3 linked regions of the Caenorhabditis elegans genome follow. The protein of the gene in region 2 purifies or fractionates together with the protein of the main gene of each other region. This does not show direct contact. Each region holds a gene or a part of one and is shown on either strand. Other genes may lie near its edges.

Region 1 (5,665 bases), 4.7 Mb from region 2:
AAATAAATAAGCTTGGCACGTAAAGTTGGGTGAGAGAAAGTTATAGACAAACAACCGGCTCCTAAATTAGATTTTTGGAATTAATAGATTGCATGAATATTTTTGGTACCTTTTTTGTTCAATTTTTTTCACAGGAATTAAACATTAAATGCATACATTGTTAAAAATATATAGATATGCGCATCACTAGTTTTCAAAATTGATTTTTTTTGTTCCAGGCCCTAAAAAATCAACTTCAACTGACATCACTCTTCTTAATAATTGAAAAAACGCCCGCGCATCATGGTTTATTTTAAACTTAAAGACAAATGAGTATTAGCAAAAGTGGCTTAAAAATGTTTGAAGGTTGTTTGAAACAAGATATAAATCTATTAATCGATGCAAGTTTCTTTAAGGGCAGAGCTAAATGAACAGTTCCGTTTTTTTCGCAGATAGCTTTCTCGGTAGATACAAATATGATTGTACATCTTCAAAGCGTCCCATAACTTAAACGTAATGGTAAATTATTTTTAATTTAAATGTGAAACAGTGAATAATTTTCCTAAATATGTTCATTTACAAAAATTAAAAATGACCGAATATCATAATGAAACAGTTTAGATTTTTTAAAAATTTCAATCAAAGTTTTTTTTGGTTGGTTTCTTTCGAGGCTATAGCAATTTTGGAGCTTTTTCAATGTTCAAACCAGAGATGTGCGGCAAAAAATATTTGTCCGCATAGTTCGGGAGATGCATTTTGCCAAAAACCCAGCAGTTGTCTTTTTTCAGCAACTTATGGATTTCCTTTTTTGGATATACAAATTTTCACTTTTTAAAAATAATAAATTAAACTCATTTTGTGAGTGTTTGTATAAATAGTTTTCGACAAATTGTAATTTTCGGGTGAAAAATCTGAACAAAATTGAGTTAAATTTTTAAAAACTCTTAAATTTCTAGAAAGTAATGTAGTCAAAATTTAAAACCTTTACTCTAGATTGAAAACGAACAGATGTTTTTCTGCAATCAAATTAATTAATTTGCAACATTTAAACCTCTTGACGTACTGAAATTGTTCTTTTTTGTTTATTTCCTTGTTCTCTTACAATTGGCAAATCTTTTGTTTGAAAGCAGTAACACATCATACTTTTCCAGACTAATCTCTTCAATAATTTCTATGAGTTTAAAATGAATTAAGACAAAGGTGCAAGAAAGATATGACATCATTTGACCTACATGCTTCATTTTAATTTGTATACCGCTTCAAAATGATATCATTTCAGAAGATGATGCGATTTGAAACAAAATTTGAGAAGCCGTAGTGTATGTAGTAGTTTTAATTAAATCAAATCATCTTAGTATAAACTGCTTCCGGTTTCCGGAATCTAAATTCAAATCAAAATTTTTTTGACTTGACATTTTTAGAAAAATGGCAAGAAACTGATCTAGAGACAACCAGACATCAGTGATCAGCTCCGATTCTTGGTTTACTTGGACTGAACAAAATACGTAAAACAAAGAAATTAACGAACGAATCTTTATTGTGCTTTAAAAGCATTAGTTGCAAGGAAAAGAACACTTGGAGGGTAGCTCAGGCTACTGTAACCATGATTTTATATTTTTGTTTTTTAGGTTTTCTGGGGAACTTTCAAATCTCCACAGGAAGATCCAAATCTGGGTGTTATTCGTTTATTCAGTGTCTTCAAAGATTTTTATCGTTTTGCAAATAACCTTCATATCCAAATTTATGCAACAATTTTGGGACTGGCGGATTTATTTCTAAACAATTATGGGAAATTCAATATAATAAAAATGTTCGAGCCTTATATATATTAAAAGTGCGGAAAGTTTGTATAAAAGTGGTGCCGAATTGCCGAGAAGGTTTTGAAACTCTCTAGCGTTTAAATTTCGACTGAAACTTAAAAATGGATTATCGTGTATTTTGGCAGTAGGCACGGGGCAGGCATATATCGCCTTGCACGCGGACAGACAGTCTCATGAAAAAGTTATCTTTCAGTTCTTTTTACCAACCTTAAATTTACTATATATTATTTTAGAAAATATCCTTTTACGCGCAATTTTTTGAATAGAAAGCTTCCTATGACATTTAGCAGAGTTTAAGAAAAATTTAATTTCTACATTTCAAAAATTAGAGAATTTTGTATTGTCCAGGTATTATTTTTTGTTTTGAAGCACTATTTCAAAATGAGTATCATTTCAAGTCATATAAGAAATGAGTTTAATTTTGATCAGCTTATCATTGAAACCGGAACTCTTGCAAAAAGAAAACTTAGATTCATAAATAGTCGCATCACTTATTTTTTTAATGTTTACTTTTCATTTCAAGTTTTTTATAAAGTTCACTTTCTAAACACTCCATGAACCATGTATACTATAATAGTTGTTTGACTCCGGAAACTGTGCTCTTTCATTAATTTGTGGGCGTGGTCATGCTCTTCATTGCGTTCGAAATTTCAATCTTCCTACTGTACTTGTGGGCGTGACCCCGGACTTATAAAAGAAAATTCCAATTGATACATCAATCACAAATTTAATTCATCGTTTTCAGCCATGAAACTACTTCTTCTGGCTCTGTTTCTGAGCATATCCGCAAGTTGCCTTGCAGAAGATATAACAAAAATTTCTGAAAGTCGAATTCCGAATGAGGATGCTGTACCTGATTGTTAGTTTTTTTTTTCTCAAGGTCTTTTTAATTCAATAAACATAAAATATTTTTAGATGAAGCAAAATGGAGGCTCGGAGCAATTCAAAAATTATGGAATGAACGACGAAAGATGGGACACACACCAATGACAAAATTCAGTCCCCCTGGTTTCCCGAACGCCGACATTTTCTTCAAAAATGAAACTGCCACAGCTACGAGAACGTTGAAGCACAGATTTGCATGGGCTCTTCTTCTTTGGGCTATTACAGAAGGTTAGTATGTTATTTAATTGGTGAAGTACAGTGTATCTGCGAAAACTTATATTCTGCAGGTTTTTTACTGCTAAGCTATGAGTATGAGAGCTATGAGTAAGCTAGTCCAGAAACGTTAAATAAATAACATTTCTCAAAAAAAATTTCTGCAAATTTTAAAATTTCCAGGAAAAGTGACTTCAAAAACATCCGCTGTCTACGACTCAACATCTGGTAATACTGGGTCTGCTGAAGCCTACATGTGTACTTTAGTCAATGTCCCATACTATGCTGTCGTTGCTGATAATTTGGAAAAGGAGAAAGTCAAGCAAATTGAGAGTTTCGGAGGAAAAATTATCAAGGTACTTCTTCTACTTACACAGAGTCACATACAGTATTTTTGGTTTAATTTTCATTTAATATTGACCAATTTTTTGAGTTAGCCAAAGTTTTTCCAGTTTTTAAGAACTCTAACCCCAAAACTTTCTCATTCAACTCAACGCCAATTTCTTATAAAATTTCTTTATAGAGAAACAACTTTTATTGTGTGAAATTTCGCGTTAAAATTTTTAAAGATGAGGGAAGCGTTGTTAAGAAAGTTGGAAAATGTCGAGAAAGAAGCAGAAAAATAAAAAAAATTATTGTAAGTTTTGCTTTGTTTCAGGTTCCTGTGGCTCTTCGCAATGCAAAAGCTAAGGAATTCGCCGACAAAAACCACGGATTCTACATGAATCAATTTGGAAACGCTGAAAAAGCTGAAGAATTCCATGAAAGTGGAGACTTTTATTTTGAGTCCACAAATGTCTATCATGAAATTATTGTTCAACTCAAAAAGGACAAAGAGCAAATTGTCAAAATCCCTGACTACTTTGTTCATTCAGCAGGAACCGGTGGAACTATTTCGTCAGTTGGCAGATATGTCGCTAGATATGGAGCACCTACAAAAGTCGTACTCTCCGATTCTCAATACTCTTTATTCTACGATTATGTAATTGGACATAAATTCACAAATCAATCTGGTGCAGGTATTTGGACACCTCCAGGGATTGCTGGAATTGGTTACGGATATGATATTGAACCAGTGTGGTACGGAGAAACAACAAGTTTAACAAGAAATGTAATCCATGAAGCCATGAAAATGCCTGATATTGCATCAGTAGCTACAATGAGAATTCTCGATGAAAAAGGTTATAATGTGGGACCGTCAACATCACTCAACTTCCTTGTTTCTCTTTACAAAGCCTATCAGAACAAGTAAGTAATTCAAACTGACATCATTGCAAACTAATCCGTCTAGAGTATTTATTCGTTGTCTTTTGACGACTTAAGCGTTTACTAGTACATTTAAATTTTTGCGTTAAAAAATATGTTTTAATAGTTTAGTTTACGCAAGCGTATCAATATACCTTGCGTATACCTTGGCTATCAAATCTTGATGAACACAATTTTCAGAGCCAGAAAATCTGCTATCAAGCATCGTCTTACGATTGTTACACTGGCTTGTGACCCAGGAGATTTCTACCGTAGTACGTACCTTAACAACGAATGGGTCGAGAAAAGTTTCAAGAAGTTTGGAGGTGTTATGGGAATGGAATGTTGGAAAAAGCTGATTCAAGAATCAATTGATACGGGTTCTGATTTCTATTCGAAAGGTCTCACTATGTGTCCAGGAGCTTTTAAAGTTTAACTGTTTTGCATTTCTGTGTTTTTGTGTCTCTCCGTATTGTACAGGTTCGTAATTGATCAATTTTAAATTAGATTGTTTTTTTCGAAAATAGAACTCATAGTTCCAGTGATTAAGTCTATTCCCGTGCATGAGTTTTGTGCTTGCTTTGATCTGTATTCAAGTTTAATTGAATAAACTATTTATTATTTAATTATCTGAAAACGCAAAAGTTATAATATTTGCACATAAGGCAAATATGAAAATATACACAACAAAAATTGACCAGTCGACGCCGCGAACAACAGGTTGATCAAGAAAACCATATTGAAAATCAATTGAATCTTTTTTGCGACCATCCGGTGTGTAGATGATTCCTGAAAACAGAAATTGTGATTTTTCAAAGTTCTAAAAACTGACCTGTCAATGATCTTTTCGAACAAATGAACATTTTCTTGCAAACTTCACAATATGTTGGACATTGCACAATATGTGTTGAATTATTGTCAAGAAAAGCCAACCCATCGTAAAGAGGACAGCTGACAACTTTATTTCCGATCGAAAATTGAAATATTTCAGTTTTGTTGCAAACTTCGTTCTGAAATGCGGACTTTACTTACATGGCGAAAATTTTAACTCACTTGAATACGGTACATTCTAGTTGTCTTGGAAACAAATTTAGGAATATCTCCCGTTCTCATTAAGGAAGTCAATATGTTAACTTCATTCGGATCTTTCTCGAATAGTTTGATTGCTATCTGAGTGCAAATTACATTAGTATGCAAAAATGTTTTACAATAGATAATTTGCAATGAAAAATGCTGCCGACAATTGTAATTGTTTTTTGAAGTTTTAGCAATGAAAACGCCCGCCCGCCTTGTGTCCAGTTTCAATCACCTTACAAAACTTACTTTTAGCGATTCCACATATTCTATTTGAAAACTAAAACAACACAACACGAAAAGATAGTTTTTAATATACATCTTTATTTGAAATAATGTTCCATAAACTTTCAAGTTGTGCAATATTATTCCACGTTTTGAATGTTTCGTTTAAAATAATAAATTCCACGCGAAATTGCTAGAACGTTGTTTGAGATCGTATTCTTCTG
Region 2 (6,155 bases):
AGTAATTTGAATATTTTCAGAATGTTCATCGAGTCAATAGTTGATTTCCTTAAAGAGCACCAGCTAGACGGAATTGATTTATTCTGGAGATGGGTTCCACTTGCAGTTCAATCCGAATTTTGTTTGTTTCTTGAAGAAGTTAAAATTGAATTTTTGAATCAAGAAAAACAATACATATTATCAATCACAGCACCACCAGTTGGGATAGAGAACTATGAAGATGGCTATGATATTGAAGAAATCATTGAGCGTGTCGATTTTGTGAATGTGTACTCTATGAATTACGCGGCACCATGGAGTAATCAATGGGGTACACCCACAGGACCATCTGCTCCGTTGTACGGAGGGCTTGATGCTAGGAGGAAATTTAGTGTCGATTATACTATGAAGTACTACATCAGATACACTCGAAAACCTGAAAAGTTCAATTTGATAATTCCATTTTATGTGAGACATTGGAGAAATGTGGAAAACGCGATTAAACCTGGAATCGAGGTTTTTAGAAATGTAACACTTCAAAATAATGGAGCGATCGGAGAAGTTTATATGTCTAGATGGACTGCAGAAAGTGATGGAATTGAATTATCAAACCCTTCATGGGATGATACAACTAAAACTTTATACATTTGGAAACCAGAAACAAAAACTTTTATCACTTTTGAAACTGAGAAAAGTATTGAAGCAAAAGCCAATTATGTTAAATCTATGAATCTTGGAGGAGTATGGATTTGGTTGATGGAGAATGATGATCAGGATAATAGTATGATTGAAGCAGTTTCCGGTCAATTCGGAAATCCCAGTGATGATCAGTCACAGTACGGTGTTATTGAATCAGTCGGATCTCATTCTAGAAATTTAAATAATAGAATAATTCAAAATAATCAATAAATTATTTATGATGTCTGTAATAATTTGATTGTATTGCCAGCATAATTTGTGTAAAGTGTCAATGATGGAATGTTCAAAATGTTTGTTAAGTTCAATGACTACAATAAAGTGTTATTTTTTGAAAAGTTTTTAATTGAAGTGCTCCTCTCCCCCTGCAACACAAAACTTTAAAAACCGTAGTATTTAGAATTATTCAATTTTTGAAATAATTGTTGAAAAATGTATGTTGAAATGACAGTAATTAAGTTTGTTCCATTCAAAACTTTAGTTGTAAATAGTAACTTGTGGTAACTTTGAACGATGATAAAATTGCATTTAGTTTTGTGCTGCCAGTACTTTTACTTTGAAAACAGTTGCATAGTGTGAAACGCAACGTCTACGGTTTAAACAACTCCTCTTTCTTTATTAATTTTTCATTTCAAAAACTCATCTCGAAATGATGATAGTAGATAAACAAAACGACTTGCTCATTCTATTTTCTCATTGGTTACTATTTTTACTTCGAAACGAACTTGCAAAAAAAAAAAAAATTTTTTTAAATAACTTCTCTAGCGATATTTATGATTCTGTGCCATTTTAGAATATATGTTTAATTTTTCCACAACTTAAACTAAGGAATACCTTATAGGTTTTTGCAATATTAAGACAGTCATCGTACAAACTCTTTTTCAAACAAAAATACATTTATAAAAATTAAAATTTAATAATAAATGTTTTTCGAGAACATGTGTCGGACAAGCGGATCATTGGATTCTACACTGAAGATGCTACAACTGAAATTACAGCTTCAGAACTATCCAAACTAACTCATGCAGTTTTCGGATTTCTTTACTTGAAGACGAATGGAACATTTGACATTTTAAATGATCGTGGAAAAGGAAGATTCAAGAATTTAAATCGATTAATAAAATATGAAAATCTGAATGTTAAAATGATGTTTTCAATTGGTGGATGGGCTGACTCGACAAATTTCCGATCGGTTGTAGCGGACGTCAAAATTAAAAGGTTTGAAATTTTAAATTATTTCTGAATTTCGGAGAATTGAAACGAAATAATTGCTTGTTACTATACTTTCGATTTGAAACATTAAAAAAAAAGCAAAGAATTCAGAAAACAACATTTTTTAAATGAAAAATAACTCGAAAAAAGATTTTGGCTGCACATCAATAACATTGATTTCAATGAAAAATGCAAAACGAAATTGTTAGTTTCAAAGACAATACGATGAATTATTTAAACAAAGTTCTAATGATAAAAAAGATGTTCTAATCGAAATAATCGTTCAATGATTTCTCTTATCTCTCAAATAATGCACCCGTATTTCGTAGGCGAAAAGGTCAGACCACTTGATAGACAATCTTATTTCTCCATTACACCATTCAATTTTCCATTTTTTCGTACTTCAAAACTCTGAAATTCTAGGAATACAATGCTTCCTCCAACAATTACAAAATCTCAGCTTTTATCAAATTTTGATACATTCGTTTTCGATGCCGATGGTGTTCTTTGGACTGGAGATATTCCGATTCCTGGAGCTGCTGAATGGATTAATACATTACTTGATGATCCGGAAAAGAGTGTTTTTATTACAACGAATAATTCGACAAAGACTTTGGAACAATATATGCAAGTTTTTATTGTAATTAAAGAACATTTCTCACAATTCAAAAAAAGATATCAAAAATTTGATGAATACATTTTAAAAGTAGGGCAGTTGAAACCGGTTTTTTAATGTGGAGATGGAATAGTTTTTCCCGGTTTTTTTTAAAATGAAGTACATATATGATTTTTTAATAAAATTCCAAGAGAAATTTGAAAAAAAGAACCGATTTATTTACCACAAATTTTGTGTCGAAAACTTAAATTCCAAATAAAATTCTTTAAATTTTTGAAAACGGTTATGTTCTGTCACTTCGGACCGTTTTTTGAATATTGAAAAAAATCCCGCTGTTTTTTTTTCTCCAGCGTACATATAATTGAAAATAACGGTTTGAAACTTTTTATGGGAACAGTTTTTATATTTATTTCTCTTTCAGGAAAAAAGTCAAAAAAATGCGATTTGGTCGACTTGGAAGAGAGAACTTACTTAGTCCAACCATCGTTCTATGTGATTATTTCAAACAAAATTCTGATAAATTTGAAAATCAATACATTTATCTCATTGGAGTGGAGAATTTAAAAAAAAGTTTGGAAGAAGGAGGCGGAGTTAAATGCTTTGGAACTGGACCCGATCATAAGGATAATTATACAGATGGAGATTTTATTAATGAAGTTGATGTTAAATCGAAAATTCCAAAAGCAGTTGTTGTGAGCTTCGATTCACATTTCAGGTGGGTTACTGTTTCAAGATTTGTATCTAGTAAAGTTGAGATTATGTTAAATCAGTGCGTCGTTGAACTTCAAACAAGTATTTACTAGTTTTTTTATTAGAACGACTGTTTTTTTTAATATTTCACCAAATACAAAGAGAAAAATCACAGGGTATTCAACGGTAAAATATAAAGTTTACGATAAAGTTATCCTATTAACCATACAATAGACCGGGGCATCAAGTGGGGGGGGGGGATAATTAATTGTTGATCTATATCACCTCCGGCGCGGCTCCCGACTTCTGGGGCTCAAAACTAATTTTTTTCTGAAACTACCGTAACCCTACAGTATTCCTACCGTACCACTATTGTACCACTACAGTACCCCGACTATATCCCTACACTAACCCCAACTCACTATCAATCCATAAGCTAAAACTTCACAGACTACAAGGACTACAAACTATGGACAAACGGAATAAGCGCTTTATATATAGTAAATGATTGTAATACAAACTGAGAGCATAATTTAAAAAATCTGGTTAACATGTTTCAATACATGCATAATATGATAACCATGAATTCTTAATCCAATCACATCAAGAATTGAACACCTAACATTTTTCCGTTTCTCTGAAACAGCTCATTTGAGTTTATACAAATTTTTTTGAGACGGCTTGAAAACTAAAAAAAACTACACAATGTATATATAATTTCAAAAAAATTGAAATATATTATTTTATCAATTATCTAAATTGTTCGTATTACAGCTATCCTAAACTGATGAAAGCCGCCAATTTTCTTGCGGATCCATTAGTCGAGTTCCTCGTTTGCAATGAAGATTCAACATTCCCGGGACCTGTACCAGGAATGATTCTTCCTGAAACTGGACCCTGGTCGGCTGCTATTCAAAATGTTTCTGGTCGAAAACCGGATATTGTATTCGGAAAACCACACGAACAATTGGCAAACTTTTTGAAATCGAGAGTTCAGGCAGGAAAATTCAATTCCGAGCGCACTGTCATGTTTGGAGATCGATTGGATACGGATATGATGTTCGGGAAAAATAATGGGTTAGTAATTTTTATTTTTTTATGAGTTTTATTCCACGTTGTGACTGATAAACTTTGAAAGTAGTAGTAAAAAACATCACAATGTCAAAACTCGAAGTCAATCTACTTTTCAAGTGATTCAGAAACCGCTAAAAATTTAATTTTTAATTTTTTTAAGTTTGGTTTTTTTTTTAAGAAATGGTTTTGAACAGCTTAGTTTCTTATAATTATTGTAGCTTTTATTGGTCTTGCATTTTTACTGACTAATCAAAAATTGCATGCAAGATCAATAGAAGTAACCAGAAGTATTCAATTTTTAATAACAGTTAACACCAAAACTATCTAAAAATTTTCTTTCCAGGTTCACAACTGTTTGGATGCAAACCGGAGTCAACACTCTATTGGACATTGAACTCGCTCGTAAAAACGGGGAATCCACGAAAATTCCAGATTTTACATGTAGATTTTCAGAATTCTAGATTTTTACAATAACATAACTAGGTAAAAGGATGTTTTTATATCTCTCCTGAGCCAAACAGCATATTAGCATTTAGGAGTGTGCTCACCAGATAAATTTATTCCGTGAAACTGCAAATGTTTTTCAAAACCTCGAGTTTTGAAGTAATCTTCCTGTTATATTTTTTCTTGAAATACGCGGCATTTATCCTCATTGATTTTTTTAAAGTTTTATGTCTAACTGTGCCATCTACAAAAGAATGTAAAACCGTACGTGTTTAATTTTGTAGTCAATAAAAATGGGATTTCACTGCTTTTCTAGAAATACACAGTCTAAAATAAATAACTACTCTCAATCATCATACAATCATTAATTAGGATTTCAAAACAGGTAAAAGGTGAACATTCCGGAGTGTACACACCAGATAAATTTATTCTGTGAAACAGATTTTTTTTGGAAATTTGAAGTTCAAAATTATCTTGTTCTTCATAATTTGAAAACTGGTTGTTTTTTATTACGCGGTATTTTTCATTCATTGTAGAAGTTTTAGTGTTTCAGTTGCAATAGTTGCCGAACTTTTAATCCACGAAGAAATTTATTTCTCAGGTCAAAAATAAAACAATTTTGAGAGTAAAAAACCAATAAAGCCATCAAGGTGTACATACAAATTAATAAATAAGAAATTTCCATCTAAAACAAGGTTGGACTGGAAATGAAATTCAGAATCACAGATGAGAAAATGAGTGTAGAGTGAGTGAGTGAGAGACGGAGAGAAATGAGACATAGAACAAGATGAATGATTGAAATGAAAAGAGGTGTGTACATTCAATAAAAGAACATTTAACCCGCAAAGCACACGATTTCAAGAAAAACGAGAAGAGAAACATGAAGAAAGAGAAATAGAGAAAGAGAGAGTTTTAGTAGGCAAATAACACAGTATATGGATTTGGCATCTAGAGAGTGGTTTGGGCAGTACAAATTTCCATTGGGACACCGCTGAGTTGATGGAGATCAGCTGCAGTGAGTTGGGTGATCAATGTAGATTCGACTTGTCCAATGTGCTGAAAAATATTTTTATTGGATTTTCTAGGTGTTAATTTTCTTACCGAGAAGCTTGGCAACATGAGTGAGATCTTCAAAGCACGAGTCATTCGTTGACTGGTCGTGTGATATGGGTACCGCTTTTCAATGTGGGCTGAAAGAGCGTCAAGAAGGCGATCACGCATTCGCGAGCAGATTCCTTGACCGGCTTCCGAAAGGATGCAATCTTAAAAAATTAAACATTGAGTAAAATAGAAAAGAACTGCAAATCTTTACCTTGCTGGAATAGAGAAATAGTCTTGATGAGGCAATACTCTTCCTCAGTGATTTGCAACTCAATCATAGCCTTTACAATCAAATCGATCAACTTGCGGCACACAACTCCATACGTTTGAGCCCATCGTTCTG
Region 3 (3,840 bases), on a different chromosome or scaffold from region 2:
TTCAAAGAGAAAAATCAACGAAGATGTGGGAAAACAACAACATATTTCAAAACATCCACGTTATCAGTTTTTGGTAAACAATATTTGTTTGCGTGGAAGGTTTTTGTAAACGAAGCGTTATTTTCTGAATTATTTTTTTTTTCTGATTAATCGTAATGGTTAGAAATGTTTTCGAATTTTTTATTTGAAACTATGTTTCTGTACTTACGGAAAATTTTCCAAAACGTTTAATTTTCAGTATGTCCAATTTATACATCAAAGACTCTAAACTTTAGATTTAAATCTTATTGAAATTAGTAAATTTTGAATGAAAATCTCGACAATAAACCACTAGAAGATCATCAAGGTTAAACGAAGTAAACAAGAAAAACTGGAGAAGAAAAAACGTCGAAACGATCAGTTGAAGGAAACATGATCCTTCATATTGGAACGAAACGCTCAAAAATCAAAATTTGTCGTTTGAAAGTTTAACCTTTAAGTTTGAAAATGATACGTCTTAATTGTTTTTTTTAAAAATCGGTATCACTAGCTTTAAAAAAAAGTGCAAAAACGTTAAAATGGAAAATCCCTTTTCTTGAAAACCGAGAGATGAAGAGAACCGAGACATACAAACAAAACTCTCCGTAGAACGGCCTATGGTGACACTCACAAACAACAACATAATTGGGAGAATTGAGAGAAATAGTGGGAAAATGCGGAAATTTAGGAAAAAGAGGTTCAATGAACATATTTATAGAGACAATTGTTTTTGGACGGGAAAATGTGAACTTATGGGCTATGAAAATTTTTATAAAAGTACGATTACTTCCTTGCCGGAATTTCAATTTCAAATAATCAAAGCTGATAATTTAGTTCAAAATAATATTCCACAATAATCATATAATGTTTAATTTTCAGTAGTTTCATTCGGGATAGTTGTAAAGAACAATTTTGTGAACGATAATTGCAAAAAAATCGTCTTTTATCCAAAAATCTCATGGCAAACAAAATTATATTTCAAGCTTGTTTTCAAGCTTTAGAATCACATTTTTCAAGCTTTAGAATCAAAGAATCAGAAATCATAAGAATTTCATTTTAAGCTTTGATTACCACATAAATCATTTGGTATGGATGAATGATGCTTTTCGTTTTTTGGTTTTGTGACCATATTTTATGAGTCCACCGGAATTTTATAAAAGCTCGGGTCTCTGAAAAAACTGCTATAAGCCAAGCTGAACATTCGCTTGAAACAAGCGTGAAATGAAGTATACTGTCAGTTTGTTCAATTATTAGCACGGCAGTTGGCTATTGTCATTGAAAGTGAATGTTTGAGTGAGTCTCTACGGATTGAAACTTTTTTTTTTGAAGTTTGATGAATGGTTTGTGAAACAATATTTTTGTGTCTCGTTTTTTATTTTATAAAGTCAAATATTCCAAAAGTCCAATAGTGAATCACAAACTTTGGTTTATGTTTTGCAGCATTGTGAAGAAGTTGTTATTAGTCTCGATGCCATGATGAAGCTACAATAGTCTTGGGTTATAATAGGTGAACATTAAATTTGCCTGGGATGCTATAACAGAAATTTATGCAGGCCAAGGAGTTTCCGTGCCTTCGCAAACTTTTTTTTTCTACATATTAATTCAATCAAAACTTATTTCTTATGTACATGCAAATTAAGTATTCAGACTCCAGTTTCCAAAACTATTATTTCCAGAAAAATGTCTGTAAAATAGTGAGTTTGGAATTTCTATCAAAATCTCTTTTCAGTTATCTTTATCATATTTCAAGACGTCATAATAATGATTCATCACTTATTCACCATCTTTCATTTTTTTTTGTCACACTAATGTTATTGTTACACTTCCTGTCTCTCATCGTCTCATATCTCTCGGATCTCTGTACTATATCTACTCTTGACCGATTCAATTCGCTCAACCAATGTCATCTCACGATCAGTCTTGGGTTGAACTATCAACAAAATAACTATTTTCTTTTTTTTTTGTTTGTTTCAAAAACAAAAACTTGAGCCCAAATTTATAGATTCTTGTATTTTTAAAGTTTATGATATGAATTATTTGGCTAGAAAAATGAATTATTTGAGCAAGTTAATGTTATTTTGCCATCAAAAACAATTTTTGTGTAAAAAAATATATTATTACCAAAATTTTCCTGCTTTCTTCATGTTTCATTTTTTTCATTTTCACAATTTTTTTTCACCTCGAATTTATACTAATTCCATTTTCAGATGCAAAATTTATCTTTATCTCTAGTCATTCTATCAGTTCTCATTGCTGTAACTCTTGCTTGCAAGTGTAGAGAGCAATCAACCAAGGAATCATTCTGCAATGCTCACTGGGTTTCTCATGTCAAAGTGAAGGTCCGTGTAGGAAAACAAGGACTTCCAGAAGGATCCGAGAGAAAGGGATTGAATAATTTGAGATACACTGTGCAACATGTCGAGGTTTTTAAGGTAAGCGAGTTTGATTTATTTTACCCCGCAGGTGCTAAAAACTTACTGATAAGCTTATATCAGCGTTCTATACAACTGAAAGTAACATGCATTTCAAACTTACAGAAAAATGTTTCTATGTCAAAGTTTTTTTAATTTCAGAAACCATCCAACATGACAACTCTGCCAGATGAAATTTTCACTCCATCAGAAGCTCCAGCTTGCGGGCTCAAGATTGCCGCCGGTCATGAATATCTACTTGCTGGTCGTGTTGAAGGACCAAATGCTTTGTATACTGTTCTTTGCGGTCAAGTACTGCCAGATGACAGATCTCAAACGTCATTTGAAAACGTTCTTGAATGGAAAAATGTGAGTTGAAAATGCTGTTTGCTAAATAAATTGTTAACTTCCAGGTTCCACAGACATTGCAATCTCAAGTCAAGTCTATCAAATGCTAGAAAGAAATAAAAACGATTTTATTAGTATTTGATAATAAAACTTTAATGAATCTGATTAAATAAACTTACAATTAATGAAAAAAACTTTTAAAGCGAAGCTATGATAAAACAAACGATATTTTCATGTGAGTGAGCAGAAGTTATTGTTTGTAAAAAATTGAAAGCATTATTTTTTCAATAATCGGTATTCGATAATCAGAGGGTGACAGATGTTTTCAGCTGTAAGACTACAAAGGGTGAAAGTCTCACTACATGACTACACGGTCCCTATTGATGGCTACACTGAAATGGTTCAACAGCGCCATTCACATTTTCAGGTGTTCTATATATGTATGTGTTCTCTGCCGGGAATATTTTGTTCAAAACTTATAGCTTTAATCTTTGAATAAATCAAGAAAAAAATTCCTATACCCAACATCTATTAAAGTTATCTTTGGAGAAAAATTTCATGTTTCAGGTTCCTGTTGAGAAAATGTTTCCAAATTTGCTCGGGTGCTCTGAGATCAGTTTTAAAATGAATAACTGTGTAAAACTGTTTGAGTTTTCCAATGTTTGTCGTTGAAAACTGTCGTGGAATATTCATAAAAAAATTTGTCAACAACATTATGAACACGACTTTTTTATTCAAGCACATTTCGCTAAAACCTTCTGTTTTTGAGTTCTACCGATTTGAATAAGTTTGCTAAATTGTCAAAACAAAATTTTGAATTCATCTGTAGCTGGATTATAAATTTTATTCAATTCCCGTGTTCTCCCACCTTCTCATGTTCTTCTTGTCTTTTCACAAAGTAAACATAACACAATTATCACCACACATCTGACCCTTCTTTACCTTCCCCTACCATCTCCATCTTTCTTCATGTATGCCTGGGCTATCTCATATTTGTTTGCAGCACAAATAACTTCTCCACCTTTCGGCTGCGTCTCTTCTATACCGTCAGTCTCTCACCGTT

What was found. Proteins that work in one complex are often made in the same cells at the same time.
Region 1: the proteins of C45E5.1 (region 2) and F13B12.4 fractionate together in Caenorhabditis elegans (co-fractionation; one large-scale study listed by BioGRID). This does not show direct contact.
Region 3: the proteins of C45E5.1 (region 2) and cri-2 fractionate together in Caenorhabditis elegans (co-fractionation; one large-scale study listed by BioGRID). This does not show direct contact.

What each region holds. Positions count from the first base shown.
Region 1 is NC_003282.8:10,443,684-10,449,348, reverse strand, and holds F13B12.4 (Putative pyridoxal-phosphate dependent protein F13B12.4), read left to right. Parts: upstream 1-2,544; 5' UTR 2,545-2,546; coding exon 2,547-2,658; intron 2,659-2,714; coding exon 2,715-2,912; intron 2,913-3,080; coding exon 3,081-3,253; intron 3,254-3,555; coding exon 3,556-4,145; intron 4,146-4,343; coding exon 4,344-4,578; 3' UTR 4,579-4,764; downstream 4,765-5,665. Other genes in the region: F13B12.7 (Neprosin domain-containing protein), read right to left, coding at 4,765-4,931, 4,975-5,152, 5,196-5,255; F13B12.3 (Ion transport domain-containing protein), read right to left, coding at 5,635-5,665.
Region 2 is NC_003282.8:5,742,093-5,748,247, forward strand, and holds C45E5.1 (Glycerol-3-phosphate phosphatase), read left to right. Parts: upstream 1-2,310; 5' UTR 2,311-2,317; coding exon 2,318-2,514; intron 2,515-2,544; exon of another isoform or gene 2,545-2,565; intron 2,566-2,924; coding exon 2,925-3,218; intron 3,219-3,273; exon of another isoform or gene 3,274-3,294; intron 3,295-3,791; exon of another isoform or gene 3,792-3,812; intron 3,813-3,967; coding exon 3,968-4,270; intron 4,271-4,330; exon of another isoform or gene 4,331-4,351; intron 4,352-4,610; coding exon 4,611-4,728; 3' UTR 4,729-5,018; downstream 5,019-6,155. Other genes in the region: chil-11 (GH18 domain-containing protein), read left to right, coding at 21-888; nhr-46 (Nuclear Hormone Receptor family), read right to left, coding at 5,660-5,767, 5,813-5,973, 6,024-6,155.
Region 3 is NC_003283.11:8,199,583-8,203,422, forward strand, and holds cri-2 (Putative metalloproteinase inhibitor tag-225), read left to right. Parts: upstream 1-2,225; coding exon 2,226-2,450; intron 2,451-2,591; coding exon 2,592-2,798; intron 2,799-2,842; coding exon 2,843-2,887; 3' UTR 2,888-2,941; downstream 2,942-3,840.